Lonchura striata: one gene and its partner. The protein of the gene in region 2 interacts with the protein of the main gene of each other region in a biochemical or structural test. Links are inferred from orthologs where the notes say so. Each region holds a gene or a part of one and is shown on either strand. Other genes may lie near its edges.

Region 1 (10,093 bases), on a different chromosome or scaffold from region 2:
GGCAGGAGTTGCAGAGGCGTGACCAATTGCCCCACAGCAATCCCACACTTGGCACTGCTTTGGTCACTCCAAAACTAAGGCTGATCCATGCAAACCCTTTTACCAGAGTATCCCCAGATGCTTCATGAACATAACACCCCACAATTAGGCTCATGAATCATAGCTGAAGGAAGGAGACACCCTCCAGCAACACAAAAGTTGGCTCAGAATTTTGATTGGACACAGAAGATACAGCAAACTCAGGGTAAGAAAAATGGGCAGAGTGGCCAGAGAGCAGCACCTGATGGCACAGGAGATGCTCTGCAAAGACCAGGGCAGGACCATGACCAGCATTGAGGATGGGTAAGTTCACCCTGGTCTGACTCACAGAGTTTTATTTTGGTGACCACAATAGTCCCTGAATGTGACAAGCCAAAGCAGCTGCCCAGGCAGCACGTCCAGCATGTGGGCCAGGCTCTCATCCAAGCTTGGCTGCTTCAGCCCAGGTGGGAGAGACCCCAAAACCCTCTGCTCAACATGCAGGCTTGGCTCATTCTTTCACATTCTACTTTCCTGCCCTGAAGCACTCAGGGTCTCTCGGTGATTTGCCTCAGTGAAAGCCACCCTTCTCCTGGCTCAGAGGATGCTGCCAGGGGATCCCGGACATCTCGACTGTCATCCCCAGGCACCTCATGCCTGAAGCTGGCTCAGGCACCAGAAAAGGAGCCAACAAGAAGAAGCCTCGTTAAAAAGCTACCCAGAGTGCATGGAAACAGGGGGGCTCCAGCACACAGTGTAGCTCCTGCATACCTCGACTCTCCATGGCGAAGCTGCACAAGCTCCCACTTTGTCATGTAAATGCGGGCGCCGGGGCCAGGGGCTGCAGGGCGAGTGTTGTTCCTGCAGCACAATGCGGCCAGTGAGCGGGATGAAATCCGCTGCCATTAGAAATTCCGCGGCCCGGGAGGAATCACAGACTTTCGCACACAAAGCCATGTCCTGGGGACGCGCCGGCGGCGGAGCATCGACGCCCTTCCGCCGGGTACCGCGGGCAGAGACGGCGGAGAGGGCAGAGCCACCGAAGTGAGAGCAAGTTTGAGGTAATTAGCGCTGGAATACGCTTTGTTTCTGTTATTTATTGTAACAGCTGGGGAACACGACCCGCTGCCCAACAGCTGCCTGCGTCGGGCGAAGCCGCCGGTGGGACGGCATGAAATTACCATGTCATTGAAATCCTCTCCAGCGCTGCATTCAGCCGAGGGGCCGCGGGAACGGGGCCCAGACAAAAGGGAGTTTTATTGCGGCGGCGGCGGGTCCGTGCCGGCCCCCTCTCCGCACACCCACTCGCCAAAATACAGCCAGGAATCAGAGAGGTGCAGACGGGGCCGCGGCACAACAAATGCCACCGGACAGGCAGCGTGGTCTATCCTCACCCTGAGACATCTCCGTCCTAAACCACCCCAGAATCCCCTCGGGAAATGAAATCCCCCGTCGGGGAGCAAAGCAAGGGGCAGCACCAGTGGGAAAGGCAGCTGCTGGGGAGGATGAGCAATTGGTGTTCCAGATCTCCAGGCTGGACACCTTAAAAACCACTGGCTCTAAGCAGTGACCAACACCATTCCACATAGTCCAGACTTCAAAAAGCCCCAACTCAGCTCTGCCAATGCAGAAACCACTGCCTGTTCCTTCTTGAGTGACCTGAGCACTGCCAGGGTCACGCAGCTGTGAGTGCTTTTAGGTTTGACACCAAACTGAGTTTCAGCAGGTGATGCACACATGGGACAGCGGCTCCATCTGCAGCTGTCAGAGCCCAGCATTAAACTGTCCATGCACCAGAGCCTGGCTGCTGAGGGAAGGCTGAGCCGCCCAAGCTCTGGTCCTGCCCTGCACTGGGGTGGCTTCACCCAAAAAATGAGCCAAAACGGGTTCTAAACTGTTTTACTACAGGACTGACATCTGAAAGTGCTGAGTTCTTCATAACCTCACATTAAACATTGCTAAGGACACTGCTGTGCTTCCCACCTGGAAATTACGGGTGACACCCTGAAGTGCAAGCTGTCTGGTTGAATGGGTGCATCCTGGGACATGCAGTCCCACAAGTTGAGCTGAGCAAGAGTGTCAAGCTGCAGGTGCTGCACTCCAGCTGCTCTGGCTCTGGAGAGCAGTGTGGTGATGCCAGTGGTGTGGTGATGCTGCCAGTGTGGACACAGCTCAATCATGAGCTGACATGTGAGGGTTCTGCCAAGCTGGCCTCAGCTGTCCAGCAGCTCTGTTTTCCATCCCTCTGACGGAGTTTGAGAAACACCGGCACAGCAAGTGCCAGCTCCCCTGCTGAGCACACTCGGTGGCACATCCAGGCTGCGTGACTCCGCTCAGTGACCCTGGGGTCCCAGCTAATGGTGCCTGGGCTGGGTGGAGGCTGACATCTCCTGCCCAGCCCCGTGAGGTCTCCCGCTGCTCCTGCACTGCCCAGGCAGCAGCCAGGGATGCGCAGAGCCGAGAGTCGCAGACAAAGGCGGTCCCCAGTGCCAGAGGGACAGGACAAAAGCGACGTCGGCTCCTCTCCATGTCCCATCGCGACCCCGCAGTGCCACCGGCTCTGGGAGCGGAGGTTGAACCCGCCCGTGGCTCTGCATGGATCACCCTGCCGAAGGAGCAGCTTCTCTGCCTAATTTGGCTTCCTCCTCGCGTCTGCCATCTTAATAACTTGCCTGTGTTTTGTTCTTCCCAGGGTTTAGGGAGAGGCTGCAAAGAGTGTTTAGAGATAAACCATCCATGCTGTGTCTCCAGGCAAGGTGCTTCTCCTGGCTTTGTTTCTCGGCTTAATCCTGTCCCAGAACCAGGCATACGCAATTTCATGTTTCCTGAAGATAAAGAGCCCCAACAGACGGAGCAGCTTTGGGGTTTTTGCAAGATTCAGCACAGGAAGACAACGGTTGAGATTAACAGCCTTTAGGAAATTTGCAAGGGATAAACTAAAAGTTGTGGGACAATAGTTTTTAAAACCACTGCATGCGTGTGTCTTCCTGAGTGCTGCCTGTGGGTCCCATGTCCTAGGTTTTTCCTCTCCCTTTCCAGACATCTCCATGTTGGGCACATCCAGGCACATGCCAGTTTTTGCTTTATTGCCACAGCATCATCAGAGCTCGCGTGTGAGGCTCAGCCCATACTCAGGGTCTGGCACAAGCACAGGGGTGCCACAGCAGGGCAGGATTCACAGCAGGTCTGATGACACGGGGTGCATGAGTCCCCTGTTCAAGGGGTGAAGAGCAGGCATCCCCCAGCCAAATTTGGGGACAGAAGGGGAAACTCCCAAGGCTGCAGCAGCAGAGCCCTGCTCCCAGTGCAGCCCTCACAGGCCCACGGACTGAAACCCAAACCTGTCTACCAAGTGCATCCCCATCCCAAAACAAGAGATTCTTTTATCGCACCTTAAGAGCATCATTTCAGGCTGGGGTAGGAGGGTGCCCAGCAACGTTATCTTTGTGGCCCTGAGGCAGCAGCACTGCTGTCGCCCCAAGGCGCTGGCAAAGCCCGTGGTGCTGCCAAATCACTGCTTCCAGAGGCCATAAATCAGCCAAAACACAAAGCACCCAGTAGCCAGAAGGTAACGCAGACACAGGGAGATTTCTGTGCCACACTTAAAGTAAATATCACACCGAAGGACTGAAGTTTACAAACACTCAGCAGGTTTATGTCAAAATCTCATCAGGCTGATGTGTTGTGGAGGGTGGCAAACCCACCAGCACAAGAGAGGTGGCAGGGCAGTGACTGCCAATCCCCTCGTCTTGCTCCTCGGAAGGGCAGTAGCTCTCCATCCCCATCGCCCCGTGCCTCAGCAGGGCAGTGACCTGCATCTCCATCACCCCATCCCTCCCTCTGCCTTATTCTAGGCACCAAAATCCTTCTGGGACTCAGCAGCGCAAGTTGGCGATGCTCAGGCCAGGCACAGGAGCGAGCAGCAACCGATGCTACGGCCTAGGGAACAGACCTCCAAACCCTCGCCGAGCTGCCCGGCACGAAGGGCACTGCCAGCTGCTCCCATCCATACCGGGGTGGAGGTTGCGGCAGGGGACACGGGGGTACAGGGTGGCTCTGGCCCCGCGGGGCCATGCTCAGCCCTGGCTCCGCGCATGCCCTGGCACGGGCGGAGGAGACGCTTGGTGCTGTCACGGCACACGGCATCGCCGGCCCCGCGCCAGCTGCAGCCTGCGCCCCGCTCCCCGAACTCGGGGAACGGGGAGCTGGGCGATGGATGGGGAGCTGGGGGATTAAATGGCAGCTGGGGGGTGGGAGGGAATGGCAGGGAGGGGAGTGGAATGGCAGCCGGGGGGATGGATGGAGTGGGAGGTAGGGGGAAAGGAATGGGAGCTGGGAGAAAGGTTGGAAAGCTGGGGGGATGCTGCTGCTGCTGCTTTGTGCAGAGCAGGCCCCTTGAGCAGGGCTCGCTCCGCGCTGTGGGGACCTGCGGCTGGACGTGACCCCGGCCCTGTGCCCCCTCCTGCGAGGTTCCTGCGGGTCCCTCCATCGCCCCTTGCCCAGCGCCCGCACCGCTGCTGCTCTCGGGGCACCCTGGGGACGCGCCGGCCCGGCGGCCCGCAGCCCCCCCGCACCCCGCTGCTCAGACATCCTCCGATCCCCGGCATCGCCCCCGCACATCCCGCGCCGCCGCCACATCCATCGCCACCCGCCGCGGTCCCCTCCGCACACCCCTCCACCGCGCTCACCCGCCCCGGCGCCCACAGGTCCCCTAGCCCCCGCCGCACACCCGTCCCCCGTTCCGCCGGCCTCATCCCTTTCGCCCCCCGTCGCCTTCACGGCGCTCCCCGGCGCGCAGCGCTCCGACCTCCCCATCCCCGCCGGCGGTACCTGCTCCCGAGGGTCCCGCTTCCATCCCATCCACGCGGGCGCCGCTCCGAGCCGGGGGCCGGGGCAGGGCCGTGCCGGGGGCCGGGGCCGGGCAGGGCCGGGGCCGGTGCCGCAGCCGCCTCACGCCCCTCACGCCGCGCGCACGCGCCGCCGCCGCCCGGCCCCGCGCGCAACAAAGGCGGCGCCCGCCGGCCCCGCCGCCATCTTGGGGCCCGCGGGACCGGGGGGACCCGGGGGACCGGGGAGCTCCGCTCGGGACGGCGAGGGGTGCCCGGCCGGGGCCTCGCTGCAGCCGGGGAGCGGCGAGCGCTGTCCGCCCGCCGGTGCCCGGGCCGCCCGCTGCGCGGTTGACACAAATATTTATTTCGTGGTTTTCTTTTTTTTTTTTTTTTTTTTTTTTTTTTTTTTTTTTCTCGTAGGCTTCCCGTCGGGGCAGCAGTAGTTTGAGGTGGGGGCAGCTTGGGTCTGGGACACAGCCTTCACTGTTCGGATTTTTTGCAGGTGGCCACCCCCTCAGGGCCACCGGCCCCTGAGCACAATTAATGCCACTTTTCCCTGTGAAGGAAAACTCGCCAGCCCAGGTTCCTGATGTGTTTGTAGGGTTCCTTTGGGACTGTCAGGCCAGCAGTAGTTTGAGGTGGGGGCAGCTTGGGTCTGGGACACATCCTTCGCCGTTCGGATTTTTTGCAGGTAGCTGCCTCCTCAGGGCCACAGGCCCCTGAGCACCAGCAGCGGCAGGGCAGGAATTCCCTGTGGCCCTGCTCCATCTAAATCCACAGAACTGGGCACAGCGGCCCCCTTTCCATCCTGTTTCCCACCACGTCCCAGACCTGACCTTCCCAGGAAGCGCAAATCCCTGACCCTGTGCATTGACTTCCTCAACAACATCATAAACCCCAGGAGCATCATTCCCACAATGAGCCCAGGTGTGTGTTCCTAGCTGGGCCGTTCCAGGAAACGTGGAAAAGCTACAGGAATTCAGGCTGTCAAAGCATTCCCATCTTGTGTTCTCCCAAAGTATGAGGAGCAGCTCCTGCTGTCCCGAGGGAGTGGCTGGAGCAGGACCCAGCAGGGATTTTGGAATTGGAGCTGCACAGACAGCAAGGCTGTGGCACTGAATCCCAGACATCGCTCAACCCTGAGTTCCTGAGGTTTGGTCCAAGAGGTCTTTACATCATGTTTGGAAGACACTAGGATGAGCAAACCTCGAGGCTTGAGCTCCTCAGGTTTCCATGAGGCTGAGCAACCGCAGTGGCAAAGCCCCAGGATGTGCCCTGCAAACGGAACTGACACCTAAGCGGGGCTGCAGGAGGTGCCGGGCATTTCAGACAATCCTGTCCTGGTTTCAGCCACAGCTCCCACACTCTGGCCTTCTCCAAAAGCTTTTCCTGTCCTTCCTGCAGTATTTATAGTGCAGCACAGCTGTCTAAGGAGACAAACCCTCGCCTCACATAAAGATGAAGCAGCCAACAGCTCTTGTATTTATTCATTGCATCTCTCTGATATAGAATCCCCTCTCTCCATGCAGGTACAGTCCATCAACACCAAATTTTCTCTGTAATTTCCCAAACATTATAAAAACAGGCCCATTCTGAACCCTGCCCCTGGGGATTGCAATTTCAGCTTCCCTTCAGGTTTAGGATTCTGGGAGATGTCACCCATATGTATTTCTTTAACTTGCTAACTTTTAATGCATCAGAAATAGATATATTGTGGTAATGAGTTCCACAGGTGACACATTCTGTACAAGTTTTAATTAAAAGTTAAATAGTTTAAGACATTTGTATACAGGCAACAGTATTGGTTGCTCACTCTGTACATTGCATTTATTGGACAGCAATAATGAAAAACAGAACATTTGGCACGAGAATGCCAATTTTTTTTATTATTATTATTATTTTTGGACACATGAACACAAAATATCCCTGCAGGCTAAAAAAAAAAAAAATACAATTCAATTGTACACGACCAGCATCTTATCTCGACACGGGGCTGTGAGCCCCAGGACAGTTTAGAAAGTACCTCGTATTGCTAGAGACATACATCCAGTCCAAAGTTAATAAAATACCATTTGAAACATTACAAGTCTAACAATATAGAAACCAAAAAATTACATCAGAAGTCAAACTGAACAAATGCAAACATTTTACATTGAAGTTGCAGCCTCTAGACATAGAAATATGAAAATGTCAATAGCAAGGTCTAAGAAAATCTGTAAGTGATATTTAGTGCAAGATCTTTCCTCCAGTGCACAGGGAAAGAGCCTTGCAGTGGATCAGGATTGGGATGGAGCCAATGCCCTCTGGCCCTGCCTTCTGAAAATGAAAGCAGAGTCACTCCCTCGCTATTGAGCAAGAAAACTCCTACAGCACATCCACAAAGGGGTCGGGGCTGTCAGATGCCAGCTCTGAGCCAGGGCCCTGCCCCATCCGAAGGGCCAAGCGAGGCTGGACACGGCACAGCCCGTGCACCCACCTCTGCAGTGCCCTTCGGATGGAGCTCCGGGCACCCGGGGAACTCACAGCAATACAAGAGCCAGACTGCTGGAGACAGGCTAACTAGGGATTGCCAGAGCTTCTTCAGAACTCAGCAGGGACAAAGCAAGCAGAACCAGGTGGAAAACAGGATTTCTGCCCCCTCCCCCCACCCTTTTTTAAAATATTTTTTAATATATATCAACCACCCCCTTCCCCAACTCTTTGAACTTTGCTACATTTAAAATCTTTCACACCACAGAGCTAAACAGTGGCCAACAGGCTTTATTTATAAAAAAAACCCCAAAAAACAAAAATCAAAACACCCTAAAACTACAGCTACAGAATGCACATCTTCCCATTGATTGACACATGCAGAACGAGTCACTCAGGCCCACAGGGCTCACTCAGGTCCTCAAGTCATCCAGACTTGGGCTCAGACCTACCTAGGGCAGCACTGCTGCAACTTGGATCCTGAACTTCAGTGCTTTCCCCCCAAAACTCCAGCCCTGTGCCCGGGGTGGGCTCACACCAGCCCCGCTCGGGTGCTGGCCCAGGGCTCACCAGGGGCTGATGCTCCACCTGGTCTGAGGTCAAATATCCAGTCACAGGCAAACCAAGGAGAGGCTCTCCCTTCCCTCAGTCTCAACCAGGAGTGCTTGGCACTGGACAACTAATTGGTGATAAAGTTCATTTTTTATGCACCCTTGTTAAACCAGCCCCATTCCTAGTGCACAAACTCAAATCAGGGATCTTGGATCCTACCACCTCCAACAGGTGCTCAGGTGCTTTTCAAGGTGCCAAGGTTCTCCGTGTGTGTTGGGTCAGTCAGAGTTCACTCTAAAAAGGGTTTTTGTGTCTTCTCCCTGAACGAGTACTGAGAAAAGCAGCGGTCAGTCTCCCACCCACATGTCCTGATTTTATTACACAAGTGAGGTATTCTTTAAAAAAAAAGTTAAAAAATGTAAAAGAATCTTTTTGTTTTTTTCAATCTAAACCTGTCTTGGCACATGCCAGGAGCAGGATTCACTTCAGTCCCATTTTTAACAGAAATGAAAAGAGGTTAAACTTAATTTATGAGACATAGTACTGGTAAGGAGGTTATAAAACTGTTTGAAGATGTTCAGTGTACTCTGGTACAACTGAAAACAACAGCATTTAGAAATGTAAACTTTCATTTATTTACAAGCTTAAAGACTGAAGGAAACAGCATTTCCTATTGCTGAAATTTGGAGGGGGCTGGTTCCTAAGCTTTGGGACAGCAGACAACTTAGCAGCAAACCCCACACAAGTATCAGAGACCACAGTGCAATCCTTGGGCTTCTTAAACTCCTCCTCAGTTTAGGAATAAGCTTTAATCTGCACTAACTCAGGTATACAATAAGGAATCTAGTCTTAAATTACTACGTTCATGGATTACAGGAATATACCAGGGAAACCAGGTCCCTGTTCTGGATTACAGGTTGCAGCTGAAAAAAGCCAAGCAGATTAAAAACCCTAATTTCTAGGCTAGGACAGAATCAGCATTTGAGACTCACACGGGTTCAACATGCCGTAAATGCAGTTGTGTGGGCAACCCAAATTCCCAGGAAAAAAACAGTTCAAAATGCTGGTACAAGTCCTCAGGTTGCCTGCCACACAATACATTTCAACTGCACACGTTGGCCTTTCCTACACGGAACACCCAGTTTCCAAGCTTATAAAAAATGTTCTAGACAGGACACCAACAGTGAATATAAAACAGTTAAAAATAATCCTTAAAAAAAGCATGGAAATGTGTCTTTTCTAATTTGTTTCAGAAACTGCCAAATTGTGTGTTCAGAAAACGACACGAGAATGTTGGTTAAACTCATGCACAATCCTCAGCTAGAAAATTACACTGTTTGGGGGGCTTAAAAAACAAAGATTTATTGCCAAAGTTAAACCTTCTATGAGAAAAAAGTTTTAAAATCACTTAGATTTATCAAACCACACAGCAGCATAAAGTGGGCACTTTTGTAAAAGTTTGCAAAATACCTAAAAGCTAAATTTTTTTTTTTTTGTTTTATCATTTTTAGAGGGGGGAAATGATGGTTCAGTACTTGTTACGATACCATGGCAGTATTATTTATAACCATTATCATTAAAATCTACTGACAGGCATCACTATTGGTTATATTACACATTCACAGAACAAGAACCACCTATTAACTCGCAGTATAGTGCAATTGCTTTGCAGCCCAAGTCTGCAGAGATTAAAAAGATAATTAGTAAAACTGACAAAAAACTGCAATACCTGTGAAAGTTATGTTTGTTAAAAGGCATTTACAGTAGTGAAGTCTAAAATCTCCATAAAAAAATTTATGGCCCCACACGACAGAAGGATTACAGCGAGCTGGATAAAACATTTTGCCATCACATCATACTCACGAAGCAGGGCACGGAGACAGAGCAGCAGTCACCGTCAGCTCATGGGATGAGGAGAACTGAAAAAAACCACAGCTAGCAAAAGATTTGATAGAAACCTTTCGTGCCAACTCCTTGAAAAATTTCAGGATGATCGGCCTTTGCGCTTTGAGGTAAAAATTCAGTCCAATGCATCAGAAAAGACAAGTCTATGGATTTCTAGTACAGAAAACAATGAAACAAATGGCTCAATTGTGTTGGTGCATCAGACGTTGCAGTGAAGAACAGATTCAGTGCGACTGTCCGGAGCTGCTGGTAGTGGGCAGTCCGAAATCCCCCGGCCCTGGGTAGAGCAGGAGATTTCCAAACACTTCAGGACTGCATGG
Region 2 (9,803 bases):
AGACTACTTCCAAATAAAAGGGCATAAATTTCTCCTGTGAGAGAACAGACTTTACTAATGAAAAACCCAATACACTACTGAAAAATTCTGCCAGGTTGTTTTTCTTTATGGCACTTTTTATGACACTGTCAAGAGCTGTGATAAAAATATAGAAATTAAATGCAAGTAAAACCACAAATTACTTTTACTTCATTACTCATTTAGAGGGATTAGAGAACTTCCCCTCATAGAAGCAACATGGTATCATTGTAGCACCTTTTGACTAATCCTGTCAGGCTATCTAAAATTATCAACTCTTTGTTTTGCAACTTTGCTTCTTATAATTTCTTCTGATAATTAGCTTTCCAGCCTCCCATCTTCTGTCTAACATGGTCAAAATATACCAACTTCCAGGTTATTTTCTACACATTTATTGTGACTAGTATCCTGTAGCATGCAGCACAAGTGCTGCCTTATGATACCTCCCATTTCTCCTGACAAGCAGGATGTTGCTCCACAGACTTAAAAGCTAAACTGACTAAGAGCTGCTTTCAGGTCCATTTTACTTTTCTAAGTAGATATTTTTAAAAATTTAAACAGTGTCTCAATAGAACATTAACTTGCTTCCCAGATTTTCTCACAGAGGAACTATTGAGTTTTTTCTGATCCACAGACATTAAATCAGGAAATACATGCACGATATCCAATTTCAGAACTACTAAAGCTGGCAGGGCCCAGAAACGCAATCCGTACTGACTAGCTGAAACTGGAAAAGGTCATCTCCATAGCTCACTACATGGTAAACACAGAGAACATCCAAACTCCAACCACAACCCTTAGGCTGATGAAAACTTAAAAACCTCAGAACATTCCCCTACAACATGATGCAAACCATAATAAGTGCAAAAACACCCTCTCCCTCTAACCGCTATAAGAAGGCAAAGAGAAAAAACAAATTTAACGTACTCACTGCCTACTGCTCTAAAGGAAAAAAAATAAGTGACACCAACGCCTTGCAGCAAAGCATGTTTACTTCTCTGAAGAAATAAAAATAATGAGTAGAAGTGCAACACAAAGAAGTCATGAACAGAAGACAAATGTAAGAAAATGTAAGAGTTTTATTATCCGCTGAAAGGGACAGGGAACAGCAATCAGAATATCCTGATTACTCTCACCCCAGTCACCTCGCAAGCTGAAATACCAGCAGGCAACTACTTGTCTGACAGTGACAGCTGGCCCAAGTACCCAAAAGTGCCCCTATTTTTATTAGCAGATAGTAGCCAAAAGTTAAGTTTGGATTCACAAGAAATTAACATAAATTCTTCAGTCCACATTCCACACTGTTTGCTGTTAAGAACAAGCACCCTTATCACATGTTTTATCTGAAAATGGAGAAAGACAGTAAATGCTAAGCTAAGGAAGACTGTTAGCAAGAATACATGTATTTTTCTACCACAACTGGTCAAACTATTAGAAATGTATGTTACTGTTTGCTCAACATCTCTGTACTAGGTTCTTGCAATTAGAACGGAAGACTGACATTCCCTTGCTATTCTTTCCCTAAGATAGTGAAACATTTCATGATTAAAATTTCTGAAAATGCAAGAAACAGACCATTAAAAGCAAATCCAGAGCTAATACATTTTATAAGCACTGAGGTAACAGAAAACTTTAAGCTTTAAAGAAAACCAATGGTACATATGTGCTAATATCAGGTACTTCCCTTCTTGATCTATGTGTTAAACATGTTTAATTTATCCTGTGAAAATAAACAGCACCAGTTCTTCACAAAAATACATCTACTGACCCAAATTACACACAGGTTAAGGCTGCATGAAAAATAAGAACTAATGATAAAGAGCTGAATAGCTGTAAGATGCTAGGTACGCTGTAAGTAGAAGTATTGCAGATTTCTTGAATCTAATAGCAGCACTATGAGCAATGACTGACAAAAGCCATTGTAAAGAAACTGGAAAATTACTATTACTTGTTATTACCGTACAAAGCAGACAATATTTATGTATAAAGATGTCCAAGAAAATAAACACAGTAACAGTGATAAGTGACTAGAACAAACTGCATCCAAGCATTTTGCAGAAAATGGAAAACAGAGTAACCAAACCATTAAGCAGACTATTAATAAACTCATTCAAGTCAATAACTAAGCTTCTTAGACTTATTCTATGATCTCCAGTTCATACTGCTTAATTGTAAATCCAATCTCTTCTGTGAGCAGAAATACACCAGCTTTACCAGAGGGGGAAAAAATAAATTAAAAAATAACTCAAAAATCCCAGAGAACAAACCCCATTTTAACATATTTTCAAATTACTATCTTATAGCGGTCCTTCAGTTCTTTCCATCATTCTGGCTGCAGCTATTCATCCCACTGTTCAGGATGCAGCCATCTCTACCTACGTATGATTTTTATTATACATTACTTCTGCAAAAAAAAGAATTTCTAATTTCTTACTTGCTATTATAGGAGGCAGATCTAAGGTAAAATACAATACCTCAGAGCTACACAAAATTCTCTCCTAAAGCTTCCTCCAACATCAAGTTTTAACGATGAAATAAGCATCACCAAGCAAAGCCATGACACACACTCAACCTAAATGTTTTATTGGACTAGTCAATCACACAAACTCTGGCACATTAAGCTTTTTCAAGACTTCTATGTTCAAATGTTTGAACTTATTATTTAAATGAAAGTGTAGATCTCTAGCTAAATTTGCAGGTATACAGAAACTGGAATAGTGCATTAATTCAAAAGTCTACCTAATCAAGAAGACACTGACTGGTTTATCGTTACATTTTTACCAGTACTTCCATATTACAGGATTTACGTGATTCCCTGTAAGTATCCCAAAAACATTTTGCCCATCAGCACAAATGCAGTATAGCTAAACAAGATAAATGTCTAATGATGACTTCACCTACTCTCTACCAAGACAGATGTGCCTGTGTCTTACTGCCCCAAAACCCCACAGGTGAAAATCTAACACACAGCTAACATCTCTCTGGGCTCCCTTCCCCCATCTCCAGCCCCAACTTTTTGCAGGGCGATTTCTTCGCTGAGGAATTGTCTAGTTACATCTGCAACTCAGCAAAACTCAGGTGAAAAGTCACTCCTGCAAACCCCTCCCCCGAGATACATCGACCCAGCAGACCGTGCACTATCCACGGTTTCTGAAGAAAAACTGGAACTTTTAGCTCGGGGCCTTGGGTAATGCAGCAGATGAGAGCATTCACTCACATTTCAACAGCGCGCATTCCAAGGAATCTGCACCCTTAGAGAGTCACCACAGGAGAGGAGGGCATTGCTGAGCAATTTCACTGTGGACAAGCTAACTACACAGCTGCTTGAACTTGTGCACATATTTAATAACCCTATAAACCTAAGTTATCACCTCTACAACATTTGTAGCAGGAACTAATTTCCAAAATCCACTCATATGGACAGCGATATTACTAGAAAACACTAGAAACAGACCTTTCAAATACAGAGCTGTAAACCCCCCAAAGAACGACCCACTATTTTGCACAAAAAGTCACATTTTTTGTAGAGGTTGTAAACGTGACAACGTTTGTTGACGTCAGCGACAACGTCGTACCTTTTGCAGCGGTTGTAAACTGAACTACAGCAAATCATGATTTAAAAATAGTAATTAATGGATTGTAAAAACAAAAAAAAAAAAGTTAACTTTACAAAGAGGTATTTTAATAAATGTTCATGAAGTTAGTGAAACGTTACCATGGAAAAACAAGTACTGTTTACATTAGTAAGCATCTCTACTTTAGCTAGGAAAACACTTTGTGGAGTCTTCGGTTTATTCAACAAGCCTCAGCTGTATGCTGTAGTAGATCCCTCCTACATACACTTTCATAAAGCGGATCTGAGCTTTCAAGATACCACGCTGCAAGCAGCGCTTATCCACAGGCAGCGAAGTGTCTCCAGAAACAAACATTCCCTCATTTTGCTACAAACAGCTGGGGAAACTTTTTCCCCCTCAAGGACACACCTCTGAACACGGTCACTCTTCCCACCCACCATCACACATACACGCACACAGACACACACACATTTTAGTCAGCATCACGTTCCACTCATCCAGCGCGGTTTGCAGCGGTACCAACGCAACCTCAGCTCCGTCCCCACACTAAAGCACTTTTATTCCCCATCCACACAAGGGCTCCTCGGAGTGTTTCCGTCCTGCCCGGCCTGGGCGATCCGGCGGGAGGGCGGCTCTTCCCCGGGGCCCAGTGCGGAGCAGGAGGGGGCGGTGGGGGACACCGGGGCGCAGCCGCGGCGAACAGCGGCCGCACGTGAGGCGAGGAGGGGGCAGCGCTCGCCCGGCTGCGCCCCGGGACAGGCGCTCGGCGGGCTCGGGGCGGGAGCAGCGGCCGCTCCGCCGCCGCCGGGGCAGCGCCCTTGAGCCGCCGCCGCTCGGGGCCCCTCCCGCCGGCCCGGCCCCCCCGTCCCTCCCCCGCCCCGCGGCACCGCGGCCCGGCGCCAGAGGCCCCTCAGCGGCGGCGCGAGGGTCCGCAGGGCGGGAAGGGCTCGCAGGGAGTCCCACGGCGGGAGCTGGGATGAGGAAGAGGTGGGGCGCCCGTCCCGTACTCACCGCCGAGGCGCCGCCGCGGTGCGCTGAGCCCCCGTTCTTCTCAGTGCCGGGGGCGGCTCCACCCGCCCGGGAAACACGGACCCCAGGAAGCAAAAGGCGAAGAAGCTGCGAAAAGCGTACCCCCCCCCGCTCCGCCGGCGCCGCCGAAAAAACACCACCGGGGGGGGAAAAAAAAAAACCAAAACCAAACTTTCCTCGCCGCCGTCTCTCCCTCCCCCGAGGAGCACGAACCCAAACACACCGGGACACGCCCCCGAACCGCCCCTCGCACCGCCCATTGGACGGCGCCCCGCCGACCCCCACGCTGATTGGTCGTTCTACCCGCTCGTCTTCTCCTTCCGCTCCCCTTTCCGCCCCTTCACGCTGCCCATTGGGAAGAGTCTCGGGAATCTCTCCGTCCATTAGCCAGGACGCACATCAATCACAGAGGAGCAACGCCCCCGGGCCCTTTTGATTGGGTTCTCGCGTCACTACACGCTCACTGATTGGCTGCATTTGCTGGCTGTCAGTGGTTAGCGTTGCCCCCCTTCACATCTCTCACTGGCTCCCGCCCCTTCTTCCTCTGCCAGTTAGCTGCGAGATTTGCCCCTTAAATGGGGCACTCGCTCGCCCGCTTCTACTTGTCCCGCCCTTCCGCCCTACGGATTGGGTTGTGGCTCGCACGCTCCGACTCCAGCAGAGAAGTAATGTGCCCGTTACACCGTAACGGCTCGAAGACCCGCCCACCGAGCCGCGCTCCGCGGCTGTCGCTGGAACCCTCCTCAGCCGAGGCGAGGTTTCGTCAGTTTGTGCACTCATGTGCGGGGCGCCGTGACGGCCACAGGCGATAGCGCGTACGGCTGCGGCTGCAGCTGCTCAGCGGCGCCGCGACACGGCACCAACGCCACACTGCCCGCCGCCCCCAGCGACATCTCCGCTTCGTCCCGCCCCCGCGCGACAGCTATTGGGCAGGATAGGTGTCAGTCATGCAGCTCGCGTCATGCATTGGCCGATAGCCGACGCCTGCGCAGCCAACCGACGACCACCCCCCCATGTCACCCGCCGGATGACACAGCAACCGTGGGCTGGGGGTGGGGGAATGCAGAGCCTGCCTATGATTGGTTGCTTCCACTGCCAATCTCCGTGGAAGGAGCACGGTGGGCGGGGTGACGGCGCGTGCCTGCCGCATCCCACGTGGCCCGAGCAGCCGCGCACGTGACGGGGGCCCGCGACCGGGAGCACTTGTGGAAAAGGCATTTAGGGTGACCACGGCGTCATTACTAAATGTAATCGTTACAAACACGCGCTGGTCTCCATTATTCGTGGGGTGGACAGAGTCAGAAACTGCGGGGTGTGTGTGGGGGGGTCGGTGCGAGGCTGAGGCAGGAGCGGGCCCGGGACGCTTCCCCGGGAGGTGGAGTGAAAGCCGGGATGAGCAGCCTCAGCCCTGGGCTGCAGAGCACGTGTGGGCCAGCGCTGCTGGATCGCAGAATGGGAAGGACACAATGGGAGGTACATAAGCAGGACCTGCATGGCACAAAGGATTAGCAGAGTGGAAGAGCAGGGCCAGAGGAGCGTTGAGAAATCACTGGGAGGAGCACATGGACAACAGAAGCCTGTGGAGTGATAAACGGAGCAAGAGGTTCTCCTTGTACCTAATTTCTATGCTCAATCTCATTCTCCTTAATCTCCAGTAAATTTGAGGGCTGTCATTCCATTGATGAGTGTCACTTCCTGACTTTGGCCGAGGCTGCAAGCCAGTGCAATGTTTCCATTTGATCTCCTTGAGAGCATCCTGTTACAACCTGATCAGCAGAGCAGCTGAACACAGAACTCTAGGGATATGATGTTCCTGTCACCTTAGTAAACAGGTCTGTGGGTGTTTGGTGAAAACGTTCTCTTGTCTTGGAAGAGCCACAGAGCCCTTCACAGGTTAGTCACCAGCAGGAGGGACAGCTGCCAGCACAGGAAAGCCATGTGGGCTGGTGGCAGAGACAGCAGACAAGATCCCTGCAAACTCAGGCTACACAAGTCAGTAAAGAACAATGAATATTTCGATGGCTTCTCCATTCAGTAATGGTAATTGATTTTTTACATTGATTGGTGGGAAAAGAGCCACCTTAATATGATTAAGATTTCATACTGGCTATGTGCATACTTGTTACTGTGGTGCTGTAAGGAATACAAAAGGCTCTATATAAATCAATATGAATTAATAATATAACTGTTGGATGCACTTTGCCTCTCTTCCTCATTGTTTATTCAATGTTTGAGAACTGTCTGTATTTTTTTTTCCCCAAGTTGTAAGCAGAAATCACTAATACACCAAGAGTACATGTTTTGGGAGAGAAAGATCTGACCAAGATGCTGACCTAGTCTTTGCCATACATAAAAAACCAATAAAATAATTTCCCTCTTTAAATTCTCTTTCCCTTTATTGGTGTTCTTTTGTGAGTGTCCCTTCCCATGTTTTGCTTAGGGTTTTGGTAAAAACATGTAAAGGAATATGATTTATTTTGCGTAAGCCTAGGGAACTTGATACTTTAATTTTGGAGGAGCAAAAGATACCACTCTCCATTGTCCCTGTAGTTTCACACTACAAACAAATTGGAACAGTAGAAAGCAAGCAGATTTTGTTGGTTTCTGTGAAGTTATAATGAATGACTCAGGAGTTCCCACTCAGGTTCACCTGTGGATTTGGAAGGAATCACAGCTCCCAGACAGGTTCTGGTTCTCATGAAGTCCAGATGCTTAGGAACAAAATAGTTCTTCCTGTTTTTTTCATACCTCCCCACTGCGGAGCCTCTCCAAAAATGGGACAAAGTTGGACAGTGGCAGTACATTTTTTCATCCACTCGGTGTCAGTATTACACTACCACCGTGATGCCTTTCCAGGTGCTGGGAAAGGTTGGATTTCTTTGGGGTGAAAGTCTTTCCTTTCTGATGGAGAAGTGATGAGAAAAACCATTATAGCTTTGAGGAGTGATCTCACTGCAGTATGAGCGTTCCCTTTTACTCCTGCAGACACAGGCTGGGACCCTGCCTGCAGACATCCCAAGTATCAAACCTCACACAGACTGTAGCCAAAGAGACAGACAGACTTCAGAGTTGGGATCACTTCCCACAGCCTTTTGACTCTTAGGTTATGAAAATATATCACCTCTTCTTTTTAAAATTAAGTTTATTATAAATACTGCGTCTGACAGGGAGACAGTCTAGAAAAAGCCTACATGAAGGTACTTACCTAAACAAACAAAGAGTGCTGCCAGCTTAGAACAGTTCTGGATGCAAGAAAGAGAGAGGACAAGAACTTAGAAACAGCACTGATATTTGGAATTAGTAATCAGAGTTTTTGACACTGGTTTATTATTTCCAAAAGTTCCATGACATGATTTTTTATAGGCTTGATAGGTTTTTAAATCAATGTACCCGAATGAACTCTGGATAGTCAGTCACTAAAAACTACTGGTATTTTTAGAAAAGGTCTTTGCTAACCCTGCGTTTTTTTCTGCTTTGACTTCCCTAAGCAGCAGCTGTCTTGTGGACACAGTAAGCAACCAACTACTTACCTGCATGGTGATTAAAAGAAAATTTATTTTTTGGAAAGCCATAGTAAAGTGTGTGCTGATGCTCTTTATGATGTCCTGTGTTTAGGTGTTTTCATGTGAAATATAACATTTAATATGTGATATAATCCTGTACTTCATCTATGTCTAAAATGCAGGCAGCACTGAAAAAGAAGATCAAAAAGATCATCAAAAGAATATTTTTAAAAAGACGATTCATAGAAAAAGTAATAAAAGAATTTATGTTCTCTTGTTTTATATAAACACAGGCTGATTATTTTCTTACTTACATCTTTCCCCTGGAAGCTGCTTTTTAATCCATCCTTTTCTGAGAAGACTTCAGGGAAGTTTCAGCAGGCATATGGCATCAATATATGAGGGGAATAAAACATAAATATTTACAAATATTATAATCCTGTTTAAATACCTATTATCCTTATTTTAAAAATATTTAGCCTAATAATTACTTTCAGTCGAGATACCTGCTAAGAATTCAGCATTTCCTATTCCCTTCAATTGAGTGCTGAGAAGTTTTCTCAGCCATTCTTATGCATCCTTCATGGAACTTTTTAGGGAACAAGGAAGAGAGAGGAAGTAATACTTCGTATGCCTGGGAGCTGTAAAAATCAGGATAGAAAAAAGGAATTTGTGTTTAAAATAGAGAAGAGCAGATTTCAACGCAATTATTTTTCATTTCTAAGCCACCCATAACAGCAAAGAAGAAACACAAAAGAGCAATTTAAGTAAAAAGAAAGTAATGAATACTAGAATTAAGTTAAATAGCAAAAGGAAATTAGGGAGATGTCAGATGTAATTTTCAAATTTGTATGTTAGTCATGTGATTAGTGCTAACATTCCTGCTTTACAAAAAACTGTAAAAATATCTTTAATAACTGTAAGTGCTCAGGACCTGAGCTTTAAGTCCCAGTCAGACACCTCCACATCTCTAACTGTTCTTAATATAGTAGGCTTATTTTGACATTACCTATTTTCATGTGTCATACCCAGGAAAGACATGCAGCTGCAGTAGAAACAAGAGCAGTTTATGCATGTCTTGGGCAAAATGCTTAGCAGAAGTTTCAATTTGTTTTGCTGTCATGCTCACATTATATTGTTGGAAGGAAAAGGGAGAAAGAATTTTGTCAGCCCACAGCTAAAGGGGAAAAATTGTTAATATGATGGCAGAGATTTTAAATAGAGAATAATTCATGATACAACTTTGTTTTGTTTTTCCTGGAGGCAAAATTAAAACAATGCTTTGTTAACATTATTTGAAGCTATTTTAAATACAGCTATTTTCAGCTAAATAATGCTAACATGTGGAGGTTTTTTAATGAAAAAAACAGACAATTAGGAAAATGTTTTGAAAAATATTGTAATCTTTAAAACAGTCTCTTTTTGCCTCTTTTCACTATTTTCAGTCCTGAAAGCGAACGAGCATGTGTATAGGAGTTATCAGCTTGCAGTTATGCTAAGGCTAGAAGTAGTGCAGCTCTTCAGACAAGATTTTAATTAACTTTTAATGTTCCCATTCCACCAGCTTGGTTGAGCTATGATACTCAACATTAGTAGCAGCCTGTGCAAAACTTTGAGTCCCCTTTAGCTGAATCTAAATGGAAACTAAAGTATAGGTAGGTGAAAGTAATTATAACAT

What was found.
Region 1: the proteins of TNRC6B (region 2) and protein argonaute-1 form a complex in vitro, tested with the Homo sapiens proteins (2 studies listed by BioGRID and IntAct). The link is inferred for Lonchura striata from reciprocal best matches to the Homo sapiens genes TNRC6B and AGO1.

The regions. Positions count from the first base shown.
Region 1 is NC_134628.1:4,006,738-4,016,830, reverse strand, and holds the start of protein argonaute-1, read right to left. Parts: upstream 4,953-10,093; 5' UTR 4,874-4,952; coding exon 4,849-4,873; intron 1-4,848.
Region 2 is NC_134607.1:24,505,956-24,515,758, reverse strand, and holds the start of TNRC6B (trinucleotide repeat-containing gene 6B protein), read right to left. Parts: upstream 4,846-9,803; 5' UTR 4,605-4,845; intron 1-4,604.